Linked DNA regions of Drosophila melanogaster. The protein of the gene in region 3 interacts with the protein of the main gene of each other region in a pairwise test. Each region holds a gene or a part of one and is shown on either strand. Other genes may lie near its edges.

Region 1 (2,984 bases), on a different chromosome or scaffold from region 3:
CTGGACAAAGAGGCGAGGCCTGGAACTGCGTCTGCGGGAACCCGGAGAGCCGAAACTTGCATCATATTCGTCACGTAAGAGTTGGGCCTCTGCCTGGATCTGGTATAAAAACAAAACATTGCGCCAGAATAAGACATTAGTTACCTTCGCATCGATCAACTAACCAACTCAGCCTCAGAATGATGAAGTTCATGGTAAGCCTTAAGTTCCAATATTGTTTCTATTGACACCTCAACTGAGTCCAGTATGATCCTTTCAATAAAATATAACTACATATTATAATAATTGGATAATATGATTGGATCTTTCTTTTCTAATACACTTCAGTCTAAACCCAAATTAATTGAATTTTTTCTTGAATCCCTTAGTGCATCTGCCTCTGCGCCATCTCTGCCGTTTCGGCCAACTCCTACGGACGTTCCCGTGGTGGATACGGTGGTGCCCCAGTCGGTGGCTATGCCTACCAGGTGCAGCCTGCCCTGACCGTTAAGGCGATCGTTCCCTCATACGGTGGTGGATACGGCGGAAACCATGGAGGATATGGCGGTGCCTACGAGTCGGTGCCTGTGCCCGTGTCCTCTGCCTACAGCGGTGCCAATGTGGGATCTCAGTACTCCGGTTCCGGCTACGGCGGTGCCCCACCAGTTGATGCCCAGGCCATTGCCCTCGCCAAGCTCGCCCTGGCCGCTCCCAGCGCTGGAGCTCCTCTGGTCTGGAAGGAGGCTCCCCGCTACGCCCAGCCCGTCTATCCCCCCACCAGCTACGTGAACCAGGAGTACGGACACAGCGAGAAGGTGAAGGGAGGCTCCGCAGCCGCTGCTGCCAGCTCCGTGGCCGCCGGAAAGAAGGGCTACAAGAGGCCCAGCTACTAAGTGGCAAAACGTTGAACAGTGAACCAAAAACTTACCTGCCCATAAGGAACTAGGTCATAATAATAAAAGCCAAAACATCAAGACTTAAAATTTTGAGTACTGTATTCTTGCTGGGTTTTTAGTTTCGGGCCGAGAATTGAGATCTGCATATCTTAGCTGAATTGGCATAGACTTGCGGTTCATTGCAATGCCAAGCGATACTTTGAGCCAGCAAAAATTTCGTGGTTTCGTAGTTAAATGAAAATGCTGCTTAAAGTGCTAAAGAATAATTCTCATGGCGAATGAAGCTGAAAAGCTAAAACTAAATTCATTTGTGGGGCCACTTTAAAACTATAGTTCGTCAAATAAGCCTTGACTTTTTTAAGTTACCATAAGTAAAGAACCTATTAGATAAAATGAGATTAGATAGAATATAGTTTTGCTTGAAATTATGTTTTTGTAAAATTTCAAAATGATTGAAATACTTTAAAATGTTTTAGTTATAATTTTAAGTTTTGTATGTGACTAGTGGTCACTTTAAAGGGATGATTCTATATAGGTTTTATCAGAAAAACCGGCTGGAACCAGTTCTAGAAGAATCCTCACTTAGACAAGCCAAGTTCCGGACACAACCGACCTGGAAACCATTACCCCCGAGAATGTGGATAATATAAAGTTCAATTCAACAAATTTTGGACTGTATTCGAAAATAAACGCGTTCGTGGTTCCCATTTGGAAGAGTCGCGTGTTCGTAGTGCTATCACTACCCAACACCCGGTAGAATAGCACATCGCGTAACCAAGCGATTTTATAATGGCTTGACAACAAGTACATAAATCAAATGTGAGTATATTCCAGCCGGGCAATTATGAAATGCCATTTCTGGGCTGAAACAGAACAATTAGTGTATATAGGTCACGTAAATGTCCAGGCTAAAATTTGCGTATAAAAGCGAGCGTTTCTGGTCGGTAAATCATAGTTTGATTGATTACCCCAAACCAACAAAACTAAGCACTCACCATGAAGTACCTGGTAAGTTGTGGTAGTCCCCGTGAAGGAGTGGCAGCCAACTGATCCTCCGGATTTCCCCTTTTCACCTTCAGATTGTCTGCGTTACCCTGGCCCTTTTCGCCTACATCAACGCCAGCCCAGCGTACGGCAACCGTGGAGGTTATGGTGGTGGCTACGGTGGTGGCTACGGTCCTGTTCAGCGCGTCGTCTACGAGGAGGTGCCCGCCTACGGACCATCCCGTGGCTACAACAGCTATCCCCGCAGCCTGCGATCGGAGGGTAATGGAGGAAGTGCCGCTGCCGCTGCCGCCGCTTCCGCCGCTGCCGTGAATCCCGGAACCTACAAGCAGTACGCCATTCCCTCCTACGAGTTGGATGGCGCTCGCGGCTACGAGATCGGACACGGCTACGGCCAACGTGCTTACTAATTCTCGCTTCATCGGCAGTGAATTGAACTATCGACTCCTTGCTAAAATCCTCGAGTGGCTGTCATGGCGAAACTCTGAGAATCAGTGAATAAAAGCAGCTTGAACGCAATGGAAAATACCGAAAAGAAATACGTATTGTGTGTTTTGCATTGTGACATACTTTTCAGCGCATTCGGGTTAAGATTTAGCGGTGGGTCATTATTATTATTCCACACACAAGATGGGTTTCAAAGTGGGGCAGCTAGAATATTCACTGCGGCAGATTGTACAATACTATATAGAAGTACTATTGCACTTTAAGCTACAAAGTCGACAGGTTAAGCTTCAGTGACTCAAGAATTTAGTCACCTATGAAACCCTTAGTTTCACTAATAGATTCTTAGACGAACATCTTAAATTGTATAATCAAACAAAGGGCTATATATATTACAATAACATATTTGCCAATGTGCATAAAGGCATAGACTCTGAAGTTATGTTTTATCGTTAAAATTTGGTTTGTTCTGTTTACTTGAAGGTATAGATAATATTATAAAATCCATATCCAATAACCATTGGTCAGTCGTTGGCCCGTTATCCCATTAACCCGCTTGCGTTCCCGCACGCACCCAAATGCAACCATTGATTTTGGGCCTCAGTTGGGAGCATCTGCATCTGCCACCCCCAACGAAGGTCAACCGGCGAATGGAGGCGA
Region 2 (4,373 bases), on a different chromosome or scaffold from region 3:
CGAGCTGCAGTTCAAGTTTTTCAATGCTGTCGGCAAGCAAAACTTTACTGCCTGGCTGGGCGGCGCCTTGTGCGGCGCGACGGATCTCATCCAGACACGATCGCTGGTCAAGGAGACGTATCTAAAGAGCGAGCACGTTCCCGACTGGAGCAACCTGTGCGATAATAGGCCGACAGGCTCGTAGACTCGAGGGCAGTCCCGGAAGATGGAAATATGTACGCTTCGGCGCTTTACTGGTTACGCGTACTAACATACTCTTGATTATTATTCTGTAATATATAGGTATTAAATATTTACGAAATATAGGCTAACGAGCTTTAAACAAAATATTGCTTGTACGTTTTCTGGACATTTATTCTTGGTTCTAATGATGATGTCGGTTTATCAGCTTCATTTACAACTTTACTTTCTTCAAGCAATGTAACGTTGCGTCTCTCAGAGTTAAAAGAATCTCATTTGTACACGGAAAATCAATTTAACATTTATTAGCGGGGATGCGCACCCCAAACAAATGCTATGAAGACGGGTGATTCCTTTTTACATTTGAATCTTATTAACTAACTTGTTCATGAATGGAATATCGAAACATTACAATACGTTTTCGTACGTTTGTGTAGAATTTTGTTAGAAAGGCATTCGCTGAATGCACATGGTCCATACATATAATGCATGTTAACTAAACGAAAAAAAAAGACGTTGATCTGATGTATGCTATAATGGATGATTGGATGATTGGTGGTTTCCTTGCCACTCAGCGCATTTAAGAGCCCACGATGATATTGTTGATGGGGATGTGTATCAACTTAACGAAGAAGCCGATGAAGCCCATGATGCAGAAGCCCACAGCAGTGGCGATGGCGATCTTCTGGAACTCCTTGCGGTCGGGCTTGGTGCACCGCTTGACCAGGCGGATCGAGTCCTTGGCGAAGGCGCGTCCAGGCTCGGCAAACTTAACAACCTTGTCCATGTCTTGTCAGATATTTGGGATTCTGCAACGAAAGCGAAGGAAAGTGCTAATCAGTAAAAGGTATTCAGCGCTTTCACAGCAACGTCAGCTGCGACGTGGCAAATGGTTGGCGACGGCACAGGTGAAATCGCGTTGCCCATTTCCACAAATTCGCCCAACAAGTTATCCAGCTATCACAGCTCCAACAGGGGTCAGTGGCTGAAGATCACCATTAATGTCTGTGCCACCACCAACCCAATCGCTTCGATTCACCAAATCAGCAGGATTTGGTAAAGAAACGGGAAAAAGTGCAAGGTCCACAGGCAAAGAACGGCGCGCAGGGCAAATAAACCTCTGCTGCGTGTGCTTGATAGCCATTCAAACCATTTTAATTGAAAAACTGTGCGAGCGCAGCTGAAAATCAAATAAGCAAACACACATACCTCCGCTTTAATTCAGAATTTCCAACTAAATGAGATACAATCGTCGACTGCCGCGTAGACCCCGTTATTCGTATGTGTTTGCCGATGACAGCTCCACGTCGGCTGTCAAACGCCAGGGCTACGCTACACTGGGGCCGAGCTGTCAGTGGTGGCAGGGATGCCAGCTTGGCTATTTTGCAGCTGGATGCTATGAAAGCTTTGGAATGCTCCAAACGTTAGCTAATTTGTAGCCTAATTTTATTATATTCAAAGTTGAATTTTTGTTCACATTCCTTAACTATTTTTACTCGTTGGGGAGTAACCATATTATATCGTTAACTAGTTGAAAAAATGTGAGTTCACAATGCTTTAATGCTTCACACCAATCTTTACATAAGTAAGGTAACTGGATGAATTTCAAACAAAGAACTACAGATTTAATCGAACTAATAGAGCGCGTTATATTATTTCATTTTTAATCAAATATAATATTTACAACAACATATTATATTAACAACATTATATTTATATTGAAGCAAAACCTAATTCCAATTAGAAATAGAGATAATAATAAGAACAAGACAGGACTTGCACTATTGCATTTTTGTGGTATATAATCGGTATTTTGCACATCCAAGCGCACGCACAACGGTGTTTGCGCCCAGGCGACCTGGCATTTAGCATCGTGGGCGGCGCGGACACACTGGTCCTCGCACAAAACTCGCACTCGAACTTGCTCTCCGCGCGCTCTGAGCGCATCCATAGCCGGAGCAGGAGCGGAGCACACGATGTCCTCGAACCAGGAGCAGTCACCCGCCGCAGTGGCCGCGGCCGTGGCCAGCTGCAGGCTAAGGAAACAGCAGCGCCGTCGACTGGCGGCCTTCGACTTCGACCACACGATCGTTTCCCAGAACACGGACACCGTGGTGCGCGACCTGCTGCCCACGGAGGTGACGAGCGCCAAGGTCAACGAGCTGGTTGAAAACGACTGCTGGACGGAGTACATGGCCGAGGTGTTTCGCTTGCTGCACGAGCAACAGGTGTCGGAGGCGCGCATTAGGGACACCATTCGTGGCATACCCGAGGTGCCCGGATTCGTGCGCCTGATCAAGCATCTGGCCAAGCGGCTGCACTACGACCTGATCATCATCAGTGACTCGAACAGCGTCTTTATCGACGAGTGGCTGCGGGCACATAACTTGGCCGATTGCTTTGTGGCCATCTTTACCAATCCGGCGGAATTCGATGCCTCCGGACGGCTTATGGTCCGCGCCCACCACCAGCAGTCGGATTGCAAGCTGAGCGCCAGCAATTTGTGCAAGGGCCGCGTGCTGGAGCACTTTGTCATCGAGCAGGACCTGCGGCGCAGCATACGCTATGACCACGTCTTCTATGTGGGCGACGGCAACAACGACATCTGCCCCGTGCTGCGGCAGCGGGCGTGCGACTTTGCCTGCGCCCGCAAGGGGTTCGCAATGGAGAAGCACCTGCTCCGCAATCGCAGCAAATTGAAGCTGCGCGCCCAGCTGCTGATCTGGAAGAGCGGCTTCGATCTGATGGACCAGATGCTGGCCCTGCCGCAGCTGAAGACCCCCCAGGTGCAGGGCGATGGGGATCAGCCGGATCAGGATGCGGATACGGATGGCAAAGTACCGGAGGTGGCACGTCGGGCATCGGCAGTTGCCGGGCCGACCAAGTCGCCCAACTAAGGTGGCATGTGCTCGCATTTGGCACCGGCACGAGTAAGTAGAACGGGTAATCCTCGAGAGTGACGATTGCCCAGCTGCAGGATGGCCATCGCATAGGAAACTGCTACTTTGGAGCACGATATGGTATTTCATGGTATCGAAAGATACCGTTCCTTGTTCCTTGTTTTGGACTATGCTGTGCGATAGCAATCATGCGGTTCTACGATGCCAGGAGTACTCGTGAGGGTCTCAAATGCGAAACCATCCATCCCGATCCCATCATCCCCATCCAGTTGTTGGTTGCATCATGTGGTCTGGTCTGGTTCTTTATTTGATCCGCTCGCCACTTCGCTGCACTGGCCGTGCCAAGTGTACTGGGTGGATCTGTATTTATATCTGTGTGCCGGGACTTTACCTGCAAAACAATTTGTGGAAATCCAAACAGTACAACTTCGGAGGTGTGCCCAGGACTTGAGGCGTCAATTTGTGCTGCGGCTGTTAGTGTTTATTCCATGTGTCTATATTTAAACCTGTTGTAATTGAAGCTATTGCAAGCGCTGTATATGAGTGTCCATATTATATGCATTTGAATGTGTGTTTTGCCGTTACTGCACCCGCTGCACTACCTTTTTTTCCTGGGTTGGGCTGGGCTGGTCTGGAGCACTGGGTGCTCTTGGTGCACACCACGCGACCTAGAGCGGGACAGCAGCATGCCAGCTGCGTGGCCAGGAGCGGGACGGGGATAGCAGCAGATGCGCTTTCTGCGCAATTTTCTCGACTTTTGTTTACACACCTCGCAGGATGAGCCATTTGCATTCAGTAGAGTGATTGATTGTGATGGTCAGAACTTACATATGTATATAGAACCTATAAGATTCGTTCGGGGACACCCCCTACTATCAAATATACACAGCAAATAGCAAATATAGCAAATCCGGACAGTAGCCCAAAAGTATGCAGCGAAAAGATGATTATGAACTTTTGCGGGATTGTTAATATCCTCTGTTAGAATATTGATATTAAAAAAAAAAACAAACACGCATAAATATTTATATCGTATCGTCTGCTCGAGGTTCTTTATTGGGTGTCAGTGACAATCTTAGTATTAACATTAATTTATTTGTAATTTATGTAGGTATATTACAGCTCCGCTTAAGTCGACACAGGCAATCTCGTGCACGCTTATGAAATATGTATGTATGTATGTATGCATGTTTATGTATATTCGGTCGAGCAGCTATGTAATTAACAGCGTGGATTATTCATCATCGATGGTTGGACGTTAGAATTGATAATATAGTGCTGGGTGTGCTGTCG
Region 3 (6,933 bases):
CGCACACGCACACATACACATCCGGCAATGTGTGCTAAATAAATTGTATAAATAATGCAAACCCAAAAAAAAAAAAAACAATGCAAATCATATTAATGTAGTTACATTTTTTTAGTTTTTACTCGCTATTTATATGAGGTATATTTACACAACGGAAAACGTAAAAGTAGACATAAATAAAACGTAAAAAGCGATAAAAAAAATTCATTAATTTACATTGAAATTAAAGTAAACTAAACCGAAATCAGAGCAGAAAGCATAAAATGACAAATTAGTTTAAAATGGTCCTGCAAAGGCAAAAACAACAAAAAATAAACAACATTTTAAATAACAAATTGAAGAGCTAAAAATGCATATTTTAAACATTTGTCTAAAACGCAACCGAAAGAAAAAACCAAAAGAAATGATAAATGTATGAAATAAAAGGTATAATAATAATATTATGTTGTTAATGTTTAAAAAACCTTGTTAAAAATAATATTTCAAAATAAAATATAAATACGGAAAAAAATAGCAAAGAAATTACCACCAAACTGAGAGCTTTATGAAAGTGAAATTTTGATTTATGTCCCAAAACTTTGGGCCGCCAAATACTGACCCAAAAAATGGCTGGCCGGGCGTTATAAAATTCCAATGACCAATTGCGTTTAGAAATTGGATGTCGCGCCTTGCATAAAATGCGACCAATTATTGGGGAGCGTTTCATAAGCATGTCTCATTATCATCGAAGGGCCTTTGGTATATGTACATCCGAAATGTGAAGCCTATCATACGGAATCCATTGGTTATGGAAATTGCATCCATTCGTTTTTGGGACACATCTGAATTAAGTTACATTACCATCAAATATCGCTTAAAATACAGCTCAAGCTTTTCTACGAAACCCTTAGCCCCCAATTGAGCTGACTTCCGTACAAAAACTAATTCGAAAAAGCTTTCACGCATTCCTTTGAGTCTTCGACGAGTTTAGCCAGATATTTAATGCAGTTAAATATGAGTTTAAAATTATTGGAAAAATATTGGCAACATCTTAAAAAGTATGAAAATGTTATAATAATATCTTATTATTCCCAAAATATTGTTTGGTTCCGCTTTAAAATGTTTGCTATTTTCCCCACTGTGCCTGCCGCATTTCGTAATTTCAATCGGTGGCTCTGCTCCTGTTTGCTGCCCCAGCAAAAAAAAAGACTTAAAAAGTGGGGCCAACAGGTGACAGACGGCGGCATTGGGGGGCCATCTCTTGATCATGTGCGCCTGGTCCGCATTGCTTTTTAAGGTAAAGAGCGAGTGCTGACTTGCGACGACAACAAGTTCGCTGCTTAAGTCTTTTGTTTGGCGCCGTCTCTTTCGCTCCTTTCTTTCGCCGGCCAAGAACAGTCAATGGGAAAACACTTTCGTTGCGATTAATCGGCCACTTGCTGGCAATTCATGTAGCTGCTGGTCGCGTGCTGCGCTTTATCCACTGCAAACTAGTTTTATTTGTTGGCTTTTTATTTATTTTATTTTTTTTTTTTTGTATTTCATTCGGCGCCAGAGTCAAGAAAATCCGACCACTTTCTTCAGTGCGCACTTCCAATGCGAGTCGTCACTCCATTCCAGTGGAACTCCAGCGGATGGGCACATGGTTTTTGTCCGCCACCAGCGACCAACTAACAGTCAGTTGTCTTCGCGACTTGAACAGGTGCGGACGTCGCTGCTCCTCGAATTTATATTCGAAACTCTTTACAAATCTTTTGTGCGTGCAGTTTAAGATCGAAGAAAGCGCCGCGGCGCTCGTTGACATGAAGTTAATTGACGTGATTATATACCTAATTGCCATTTTGATCTTCATCTATTTGCTGCTGGAGTAGCAGAAGAAGCCAAAAGTTGCTCGACATTTGCCCCAGAGCTTTCTACAGTCTACCAGATCCATCAGCCAGCTACCCGACAATAAAACAACGAAAATCTCTAGCAAATCCGAAAGAAGATGAGGGTAAGTGATTCACGCGGGTATTGTGAGTTTGTTGGCCACAATTAGCGGTTATTAAAAAGTCTCTCACTGCGCACAGCATAACACAATAATGGATTGGCTTTAATTTCTATTGCAAATTCAATGGCATTTCTTCTTCTCATCGGCGATCAACGACTTCAGACTGAGATTGGCATTCAAATTTGGTATCACCTTCACCTTCGCCAGCAAAGCCAGCAAATTGCAATCGCTGCACAATGAAGCTGTAGCTTCTTCAATTGAATTGAAGTCGTCGGAATATTTGTCAAATTGCAAGGTGGCCGGCAAAGCGAGCACTTTCATTTGCAATGGGAGCACTTGATGCGCCAAGTTTCGCCAAGATCCAGACAATGGATGGCTTTACGTGCACCAATTGCATCGCACACTGTGAGTTGCAAGCTGCAAACTGTGAGGCACAGGCGGCTGCCTCAATGTGCAGCGGGCTTGAAAATAAAATGCTTGCCGCTAAAATAAAAGTTGCATTTCGAGTTGCAATTTGGGTTAACCACACCGTTGTTTATGGTCGACGCTGTGGCGACAGCCCGCTGATCAATAGTTCCGCCTAGGCCGTTGGCAAAAATCCTTTGTCAGGTTCAATGGCACTGCCGGCCAAGCCCAAAAGGAAACCCGAAATTATGCGAATTCCATTTGGACTTTCGTTGAACGGGTTATCCGCCGTCGCCGTGGGCCATTCCCTGCCAGACTTTTCAGTGTTTGGCATCGGGCACCCGTCTCCTGGCAGCAGTTCATTCACCAGCAGGCCGCCCCTGGTATTTGCATATGATTATGATGCATGTTGCAATGGCGACAAACTAACTAACTTACTAACTAACCACTCCATAAACAATAAGCCACCAATTTTGTGGCAATTACCCCGATCACCGCCGCTGCAGTCAGTTTCAGTTGCAATCGGCAATCCGTTTAAGCAAACGCAGCACGTAATCAATAACTATACGTATTGGACTCGCCTAGGCATTTCACCTCTTGATTGACGTCTGGCTAACGGCACACCGTATTGCCATTGTCATTGCCGCCGCTCCGGTGGCTCCAGTGGCTCTGCTGGTGCGCTGCCCAGGTGAAATTTCAATGTCCAGTGGCCGCCTCAAATTACCCACTTCCCCTTCCATCGACGAGACTAAAGAGACCCATGCCAGCCGCGCTGAAGAGGCACATACTCATTCTTTTCAAGGAATAACATGCATTTCATTTTAATGGTTCCTATATATGTTTCTATAAAAATCTGACATTTTACGCCTTAATAAATTTATTAGATGCATGATATGTATTTCTTTCTTCGTTATTGTGTTATACCTAAACTAATAGAGCCATTCCCTTTAACCTATATAAAATGCATGAAAAATCCAAAATACTCGTATATAACGTATAAGGTAGGCTGTAAGTTTCTAAAGCCAATTTCAATGAAAGTGTCACCAAATGAGTCAGTGATGCATTATACCCGCCGAATTGTAAACAATGCGACAGTAAAATTTATAGAACGAAGACATTTCGATGACGGACTTTTCACTTTCATTCTATGGCATTGTGGACAGAAAGTTTAATCAGCCATCGAAGCGGGGAAAATGGGCAAAGTATTATGGCATACCCGTATAAATATATATGTATGTATATTTATAAATGCGAAGCTACTTTGTTTGGCTCGTTTGCTTAAGCAGCTTTGGTTAAGTAGCCAATGGCAGGCGACGTGATAAAATTTTAGAAAACCGCCAATTTGTTCAAATTAAGGCCATTACAGTTTTGTTGCTGTCCAGCGATTACAAGACCCTCCTCCTTCCTCACCGCCCCTTTTTTTCTTCTTCGCCTTTGCCGGGCTTAGAAAGTTTTTATTTCTTTCGGCGTTTTGTTCGATGTCTGTATGTACGAGTAATTATGTTTTTGATTTAATGGTCTTTGACATTGTCCCATCCCATCCTCGCCAGCCATTTCTGCTGTTCGCACTGCTCCTGGCGCTGGCTAACTGCGAGCAGCGTCCACTGGTTTTCACCAACTGGCCACCGAAGAGCTCCAAGCAGCTGAGTCGTCCCGCCATTGGAGCTGGAGGTCCTGGATCCGCTGGAGCGCCTGGAAAGCAGCGCACGCTGGTCGTCCAAATACGCAGCGATCAACCGGTGCCCTTGGTACTGAAGGGTCGTCCTGGACATGGAGCGCACAGCCATGCCGCCCATCTGGCCCATCCGCATTCCGTGCATCCTGCACATGTCCTGTCGCACGCCCATTCACATGCCCATCTACACTCGCATCCGCTGATCCATGTGCCACATCAGTACCAGCATCAGCACCTACGCGGACCACCTCGTCCCATGAAGCTGAGTGGTCCGTCGCCCGTGTACCTGAAACCAGCTGGATCTCTAAGGAAACCACTGAAGATCAAACTGAACAATGTGAAGCCCAAGACGAAACCCACATTCGGATACGACAAGCCCTTTAAGTACGAGAAGCCCACTGCTGTGAGCTACAGCGAGCTGCAGAATCTGCCGGTAAGTGGAGTCCATTGAAAATGTCCTGCTCTTAAGATATCCTTATACTGCACATGCCCCCCACTCCCCTGAACATATAACATAACTCCATTCATGCTGATCCCCCACAGCTGGACACGCACAACAACTTCAACACCGAGCACTTTGCACCCATTTACACGGTACCCGCACCGAACCTGGCCGACAATCACCTGGACGTGGAGGAGGGTCATCTTGACACCTCCTACCTGTACAAGCCTCCTTCCCAGACCCAGATCCAAACACCATCCTCCTCAGCCCGTCCCCAGACATATTTGCCACCGAAGTACAGTGTGCATGAGGACGAGACCAATGACCAAACCATTCGTGATCCCATTTCGGGTTCGCAGAAACTCTTTGCCCCAGATCCGGATCCCTCGCTGCCCACCACCAAGATTCGCCCCGCCACCGAATCTTTCAATACGCCCAGCAACAACAAACCGCTGCCCGCCGACGTCCAGAGTAACCATCTGCCAGCCCAGCCATTGGTTCAGATTGTGGGAGCCCAGACGGCAGCCCAAACGGCGCCAGAGATCTATCCCATTCAGTATGCCCAGCCGGCGGTTCACTCCCAGTCCTTTATCGCCGCCATTCCGGCTGCCCACATTCCCATCTATAATCCCACCTACCTGGTGACGCAGTCCAACCAACTGTACTCGGCCCACAAGCAGCAGCTTTTCAAGCCCAGCTCGGAACCGGTGGTGGAAACGGGTTACGTGAACGCCGATCTCACCCAGGAGGTAGCCAGCAATGGACAGATACTGCAGGCAGCCAAGGATCCACATCACAACATCCATCCTGTACTTGATTCGGCGCCACAATATGCTGCTCTTATTGCCGCTCCGGCACTGGGTGATCCCAATGAGGGTGCCTACGAGACGGCCTCCTTCCACCTGCCCAATGTGGCGTCAGCGGTCACTGCCTCCGTTCCGGAAGGTGGCTTCGTGGTGTCCAACTTCTATGGCCATGCCCACGACTCTTCCCAATTGCTGCAGGCCTACGCAGAGGAGGAGGCACGTCGACAGCAACTGGAAACAGAGCAAGCCGCCATTGAGCTGCAAAAGCAGCAGCAGTTGCATCTGGAGGAGCTTAAGGCGCAGGCCCAGGAGCAACAGCAGCAGCATCAGCTGCATCTGGAGGAGCTGAGGGCTCAGGCGCAGTACCAGCAGCAGCAACAGCAGCAGTTCGAGGAACTGCAGGCACAGGCACAGGAGCAACACTTGCAGCAGCAACACCAGCAGCATCAGTTGCAGCTCTTGCAATTGCAGCAGCAGCAACAGCAGTTGCAGCAACCAGTGCAGCACCATCCGCCGCAGCAGCTGCAACAGCAGCAGCAGCAGCAGGTGGCTCAGGATCCAGCAGCAAGTGCATTCGAGGAGCACCAGCGATTGGTGCAGCAGCAACTTGGCGCCAACACGCCACTTCGCATCTTTGTGCCCGACGAGGAGGCCGCCGAATCGGTAGGTAAAATTAGACAAGAAATTCTTCCGTATGCTAACATTTGAGACTTTCCTTGTATAGCGACTGCAAAAGAGATCGGATGATGTGAAAAAGGGCACGGTGGAGGATGTGTCCAGTGCGGGTCGGAACGACGGCGACAGCGAGGAGTCAGCCAAAGATTTGTTCGAGGTATCCACCTCCGTCGAAGTGGCCGGCGAGCATCTCACGGCCAGCAGTAATTAGTTAACGCACTTTTAGTCTTCGACGCTGTTCAAAAATATTTATTTACACACTCATTTGTAAAAAACGCATTCATGTAGCGAGCAGTCGGTAGTTAATAAAAATAACCATTAATTTATTCAAATATTCGTTAGCGTTCTTTTTGAATGGATATAAGTTTTTGTGTTATCGATACATTGTAATGCTGGTGAGATAAAAATACAACTGCACTCTGGTCACACTCATGACAAGTAAAAACACATTTTACCAAAAACATTGTTGTGATTGCACATTTTTCGTGATTTAACTAAGAATTAGAGCCTGATCTACAAAATGATTATTCCAATCCGTTGTTTCACCTGCGGCAAGGTCATTGGCAACAAGTGGGAGTCGTATTTGGGTCTCCTGCAAGCGGAATACACCGAAGGGTAAGTCACGCGGGAAAGTCTCCTTTCCACGCCGCATTTCATCATATAATATATATATATTATATCTTACAATCCAATCCCAGAGATGCCCTGGATGCTTTGGGTCTAAAGAGGTACTGCTGCCGTCGCATGCTCCTGGGCCACGTGGATCTTATCGAAAAACTGCTCAACTATGCTCCTCTGGAGAAGTGAACGGCACAATGGAAACCATCCAAACTGGACTTGGGAATAAAAACTCTAGATTTTATTGTAAAATTACAAATTAAAGCTTGATCGATAGCCCTAGAAGTTATGTATTAGCCCAAGTTGGTCGACCCTCACATCTTGTCCATGAACCACGGCTGTC
Region 4 (4,110 bases), on a different chromosome or scaffold from region 3:
TTCACAAGTGTGACACAAAAAAGTGAAAGATTATTAAAACCAAAAAAAAAAAGTGGTGAATGAAATGCTTGACTTAGTTCAACTCGCTTGTGTGTTTGGCTTCTTCAGTGAATTCGTATCATTATATTTGCGAATTGATGTCTCATAAAATGATGCGTCACGATACAGGTGGCTTCGATACTGTGATAAGCATAAACTAATGCTATCGCCGCCAGACGCGACATGGCCCATAGATGCCTCTAATCTCACGTAGCTGCTGCCACTTTGGGGGCGTCCAATTACCGGCGCAGTCGACGTCGTCGATGGCGATTCTATTGGATTTGGCTAACGCTCTGACCAATGCATCCATGGAGCATCAGTGCGAAAATGGTCGGCTGCCCGGAGACACGACAACTACTGGTCACATTGCTATTGACCCTTGGCTTCTGCCTGGGGGGAAGCTCAAAGGATACAGTTGCGGATGCGGATGCCAAGTGGATGGCTCCACTTAAGCAGTATGGGTATACGCCGCAGCATCTGAAGAACAAAGTGGAGCATGGTGAATTCACCACCTTCGAACTGGGCACCCCCAACTACCAGATTCTCAATCCCGAAGACGAACCGGAATACATAACTGCGGATCAACCGCATTATCAGGAGATGCTGAGGCGACTTACCAGTGGTCGTAGTAAAGCTGACACCATTGATGTGGAAATGGCAAGTCGCACGGAAACGGTTCGCGAGACTTCCGATCCGGGTCAATCTAAAAAACCATCTCAAATTCAAGTGCCAGTTAAACCGAAGACACAACTAAAACAAAATCGCTGGGAGAAACTAAGGAAGCGCAGCTCCATCGAAAAAAGACGTGACCACAAGGAAACCATGGAAACTGATGTGCGGGATGATCAAAGTTTCTTCCCTGATATTCAGGTTTACCCCGGCTTACCCTTCCAAAGTCGTGTAGCAAATCTAAATTAATCATAAATAAGTCACCTCATCCAAATGTGCAAATGGCTTTGATTTTAAGTGATCTCTGGTGATTCGGACAATGAATAAATACTAAAAGTATAAAAGTAAAAAAAATAAAGTACTTTTTTAAAGGACTACTTTAAATAAATCGGAGTTTTTTGCTATTTTTCTTTGTAAGGCTAAAATTGTTATGACTTTTACTCGCAATAATGAAAATAGTGATGTTGCTTATTTTTGTTAAAACAAAAAAGATTAAGAGTGCCCCCAATTTTAAGCAGAGTTTTCCCAAAATGTTGTTTAAATAATGAGCTAGACAAAATGTTAAATGGTCAAGATACTATTATTTAAATCAGTAAAGCTTTTGTACTCAATTTGTAGGAAGATAATTTAGGTATTGAGCAATATCGCTTACAAAAATACCATTATCCATAGTGTACGTGTAGACCTTGAGTTCCACAAAGAATTACAACCAAAAATTGATAAGTCAATCGACCCCAGACGTTAATATCAGATCTAGGCCGAGACCCAGAAATTATAAATCCCCCAAGCAGCTGGAAATTTTGTGCAGAACCGAAAAAATGATCATTGCGGTCGGAATGGTTTTGGCTATTTATAAAATTAAAGATTTCAGGAGGATTGTTTATTCTGGCTAATGAGAAACTGCCTAAAAAAAATGCATTATGAAGTTCGTCTTTCTCTTAAAGGTTATTGTCATGCCAAAGGTCATACATAAATATGTTTGCTATATGTTTTTGATTAAACAACTCTTGTCGCGAGCACTCCAAGCTATCGACGAGTGCGGGCAGAAATGCTTGAATGTGTATTACGGAAGCGGCGGCATCTGGCGATTGTCTTTACCCATTCCGGACCCATTCCGGACAACCACGCCCCATTCCGAGCCGTTTGGGGCGTTTGGAACGTGATGCGGTCAACGCTTCCGCGACCCATTTGCTCGGCGTTGTAAGAACGAGAAGAAGAAGCTCTCGGCCAGCGCAGCGTATTTAAGAGCTATTCAGCAAAATGCATGAAAGAGTTTCGCACGCGACCGACCAACAGCCAACAAGTGCCATCCATCGGCGATCCGGGACAGAAATTCCAGCAATTGTGGGGAAAGTGATCGAGCGAGCGAGGGAGAAATTCAGTTGAAAGGTAGGGTAACGGGGTCAATCGATTGGGAACGATTCCGGCGCAATTCTCTGACCCATTCTAAATTCAATATTCTCCCCCCTTCAGATGTTCGAACGCTGCAATTTATTATTTATGACCATGCTGATGGCATCGGCACTATTGACCCAAGCCCATTTCCCGGAATATTGTGCGGAATGTGAACAGGAGGTGTGGGAACAGGTGCCGTGCAGCGAGGTGCCCACAACGGTAGCGCCAACAACAACCGGAGGCTCTACGTTGAGCCCGCCCACAACCAGCGCCACCAGCCCGGGACCTATTTACCCAACAACAACCAGTGCCCCACCCACGCCCACGGATTACACTACACAGCCATCGGAGTACAAGAAGTGCTACTGCGAATGCAAGCTGGGCTGCAAGGAGTTCTGCCGCAAGGTGATCTCTTCTGAGCCCAAGCAGCCGCTCACCCAGATCTCATCCATTGGGGAGTATGCCCCAGGTGGCCAGGTGGAGTACACGCATGTCCATCAGCGCAAATACTTTCCCAAGTACGGAGGCGAATCCTATGGGGGATTGGTAGGACCAGTGGGCGGACCCAAGGCCTATAAGCCATATCCATTGGTCTACGAACAGGCGGCATCAGCTGCTTCACCGGCTTCCATTCCCTCGGTGGCTTCCTCACCAGCGGTGGCCAGCATAGCTGCTCCTAATTACACGCTGGAGGAGTTGGCCCAATTGCTTAGCACTGCGTATGGCACCAAGAAGGGCTACCCAGCTAGTGTGCCAACTCCGCCACGTATTCAGCTTCAGCCAGCTCCCTCCGTTTTCTATTCCCCGGTTCCAAGCTACAAAAAGCAAGTGGTTCCACTCGTGAGCAAAGTGGCGCCGGCACCCAAAATCTCCTCCAGCATTAAGTATGCCGCCTCAGCGGTTTCATCATCATCATCGGGCGTGTCGGTGGCCAAGATAAAGACTCCCTACGAGGAGAAGATTGTGGTGGCCACACCGTCTCCCATTTATGAGAGATCCACATCGTATCCTATTGTTGAAGCACCCAAGGAATACTCGGCGCCCCAGACGGAAGTCTATCCCGTTGTGCAGAGCCAAACGGAGTCGTATCCCAGCCACACACCCATATATCCAAGTCCCACGGAATCCTATCCCAGCCAAAAGGACTCCTACCCCAGCATCACAGAGTCATATCCCAGCCAAACTGAGTCCTATCAACCGCGTACGGAAGCCTATCCCGTACCCCAACCGGAGATCAAGCCATATGGTGGTCCCGATTCTGGACCCGATAAGCCATCGTCCACGTTCGATCTGGCCATCGATAATTATCTGAAGGACTTCGGATATGGCAACCAAGGAAGGGGATATGCGGACTACTAAAGTTCCATACGTTGTTTTTTAGGATTAGTCTAGGCTAGAATGTTTTCTAGGTATCCCATTATTTATTGATGTACTCCCCGTTTCCTGTTGACTACATGATGATTAAATAAATTATTAACAAAAAACTAAAGAATATTATGGTCTTAGTATTATAGTTGAAATAACTATTGCATACTTTTGGGCTATAAAGTAGCAATTTCCCCCCTTCGATTTTGTTAAAAGAATTAATGAAACAAGAGATAAAAATTTACAAGACTAATAAAATTATGAAAAAAAGCTTTTATAGTTCCTGAAATCTCGACTTTCATACGGACATAACCAGATCGACTTGGCTATTGATCCTATTGATCAAGAATATATATACTTTATACATAGTATAAAGTAGCGAGTTTGCTACTTTTCAAAAACGATCATTTATAATTCGGCTTGACGCATTTTATTATTTGTATTTAAAAAGTTTTCTTCATTTGCATTCATTTTTTTATATACTTTCTTGTTGTCGATAACATTGAATAAGATTTCATCTTACGCATTTCGCCAGCTTAATTCTGGTTTATGCTTGCCAATTTTGATAAGCATAGATATATACACAAATTAGATTCATAAATTTTCGTATGCAAATATATATGATTTATGCAATATGAATGT

Evidence for each region.
Region 1: the proteins of CG13627 (region 3) and Cp15 interact in a two-hybrid assay, tested with the Drosophila melanogaster proteins (one large-scale study listed by BioGRID).
Region 2: the proteins of CG13627 (region 3) and CG12237 interact in a two-hybrid assay, tested with the Drosophila melanogaster proteins (one large-scale study listed by BioGRID).
Region 4: the proteins of CG13627 (region 3) and CG13114 interact in a two-hybrid assay, tested with the Drosophila melanogaster proteins (one large-scale study listed by BioGRID).

Annotation. Positions count from the first base shown.
Region 1 is NT_037436.4:8,726,656-8,729,639, forward strand, and holds Cp15 (chorion protein 15), read left to right. Parts: upstream 1-1,825; 5' UTR 1,826-1,871; coding exon 1,872-1,883; intron 1,884-1,954; coding exon 1,955-2,290; 3' UTR 2,291-2,411; downstream 2,412-2,984. Other genes in the region: Cp18 (chorion protein 18), read left to right, coding at 180-194, 369-872. UniProt on the Drosophila melanogaster protein: Chorion membrane (egg shell) protein; plays a role in protecting the egg from the environment.
Region 2 is NC_004354.4:19,640,481-19,644,853, reverse strand, and holds CG12237 (uncharacterized protein), read left to right. Parts: upstream 1-1,984; 5' UTR 1,985-2,156; coding exon 2,157-3,077; 3' UTR 3,078-3,663; downstream 3,664-4,373. Other genes in the region: Arp10 (Actin-related protein 10), read left to right, coding at 1-184; Sec61gamma (Sec61 gamma subunit), read right to left, coding at 761-967.
Region 3 is NT_033777.3:24,711,126-24,718,058, forward strand, and holds CG13627 (uncharacterized protein), read left to right. Parts: upstream 1-1,654; 5' UTR 1,655-1,781; coding exon of another isoform or gene 1,782-1,850; 5' UTR 1,851-1,966; coding exon 1,967-1,972; intron 1,973-3,658; exon of another isoform or gene 3,659-3,852; coding exon of another isoform or gene 3,853-3,858; intron 3,859-3,924; coding exon 3,925-4,482; intron 4,483-4,592; coding exon 4,593-5,960; intron 5,961-6,021; coding exon 6,022-6,183; 3' UTR 6,184-6,305; downstream 6,306-6,933. Other genes in the region: CG46316 (uncharacterized protein), read left to right, coding at 1,782-1,850; Polr2L (RNA polymerase II, I and III subunit L), read left to right, coding at 6,493-6,587, 6,671-6,779; CG13630 (uncharacterized protein), read right to left, coding at 6,905-6,933.
Region 4 is NT_033779.5:9,543,836-9,547,945, forward strand, and holds CG13114 (uncharacterized protein), read left to right. Parts: upstream 1-1,975; 5' UTR 1,976-2,097; intron 2,098-2,181; coding exon 2,182-3,462; 3' UTR 3,463-3,589; downstream 3,590-4,110. Other genes in the region: CG13113 (uncharacterized protein), read left to right, coding at 340-957.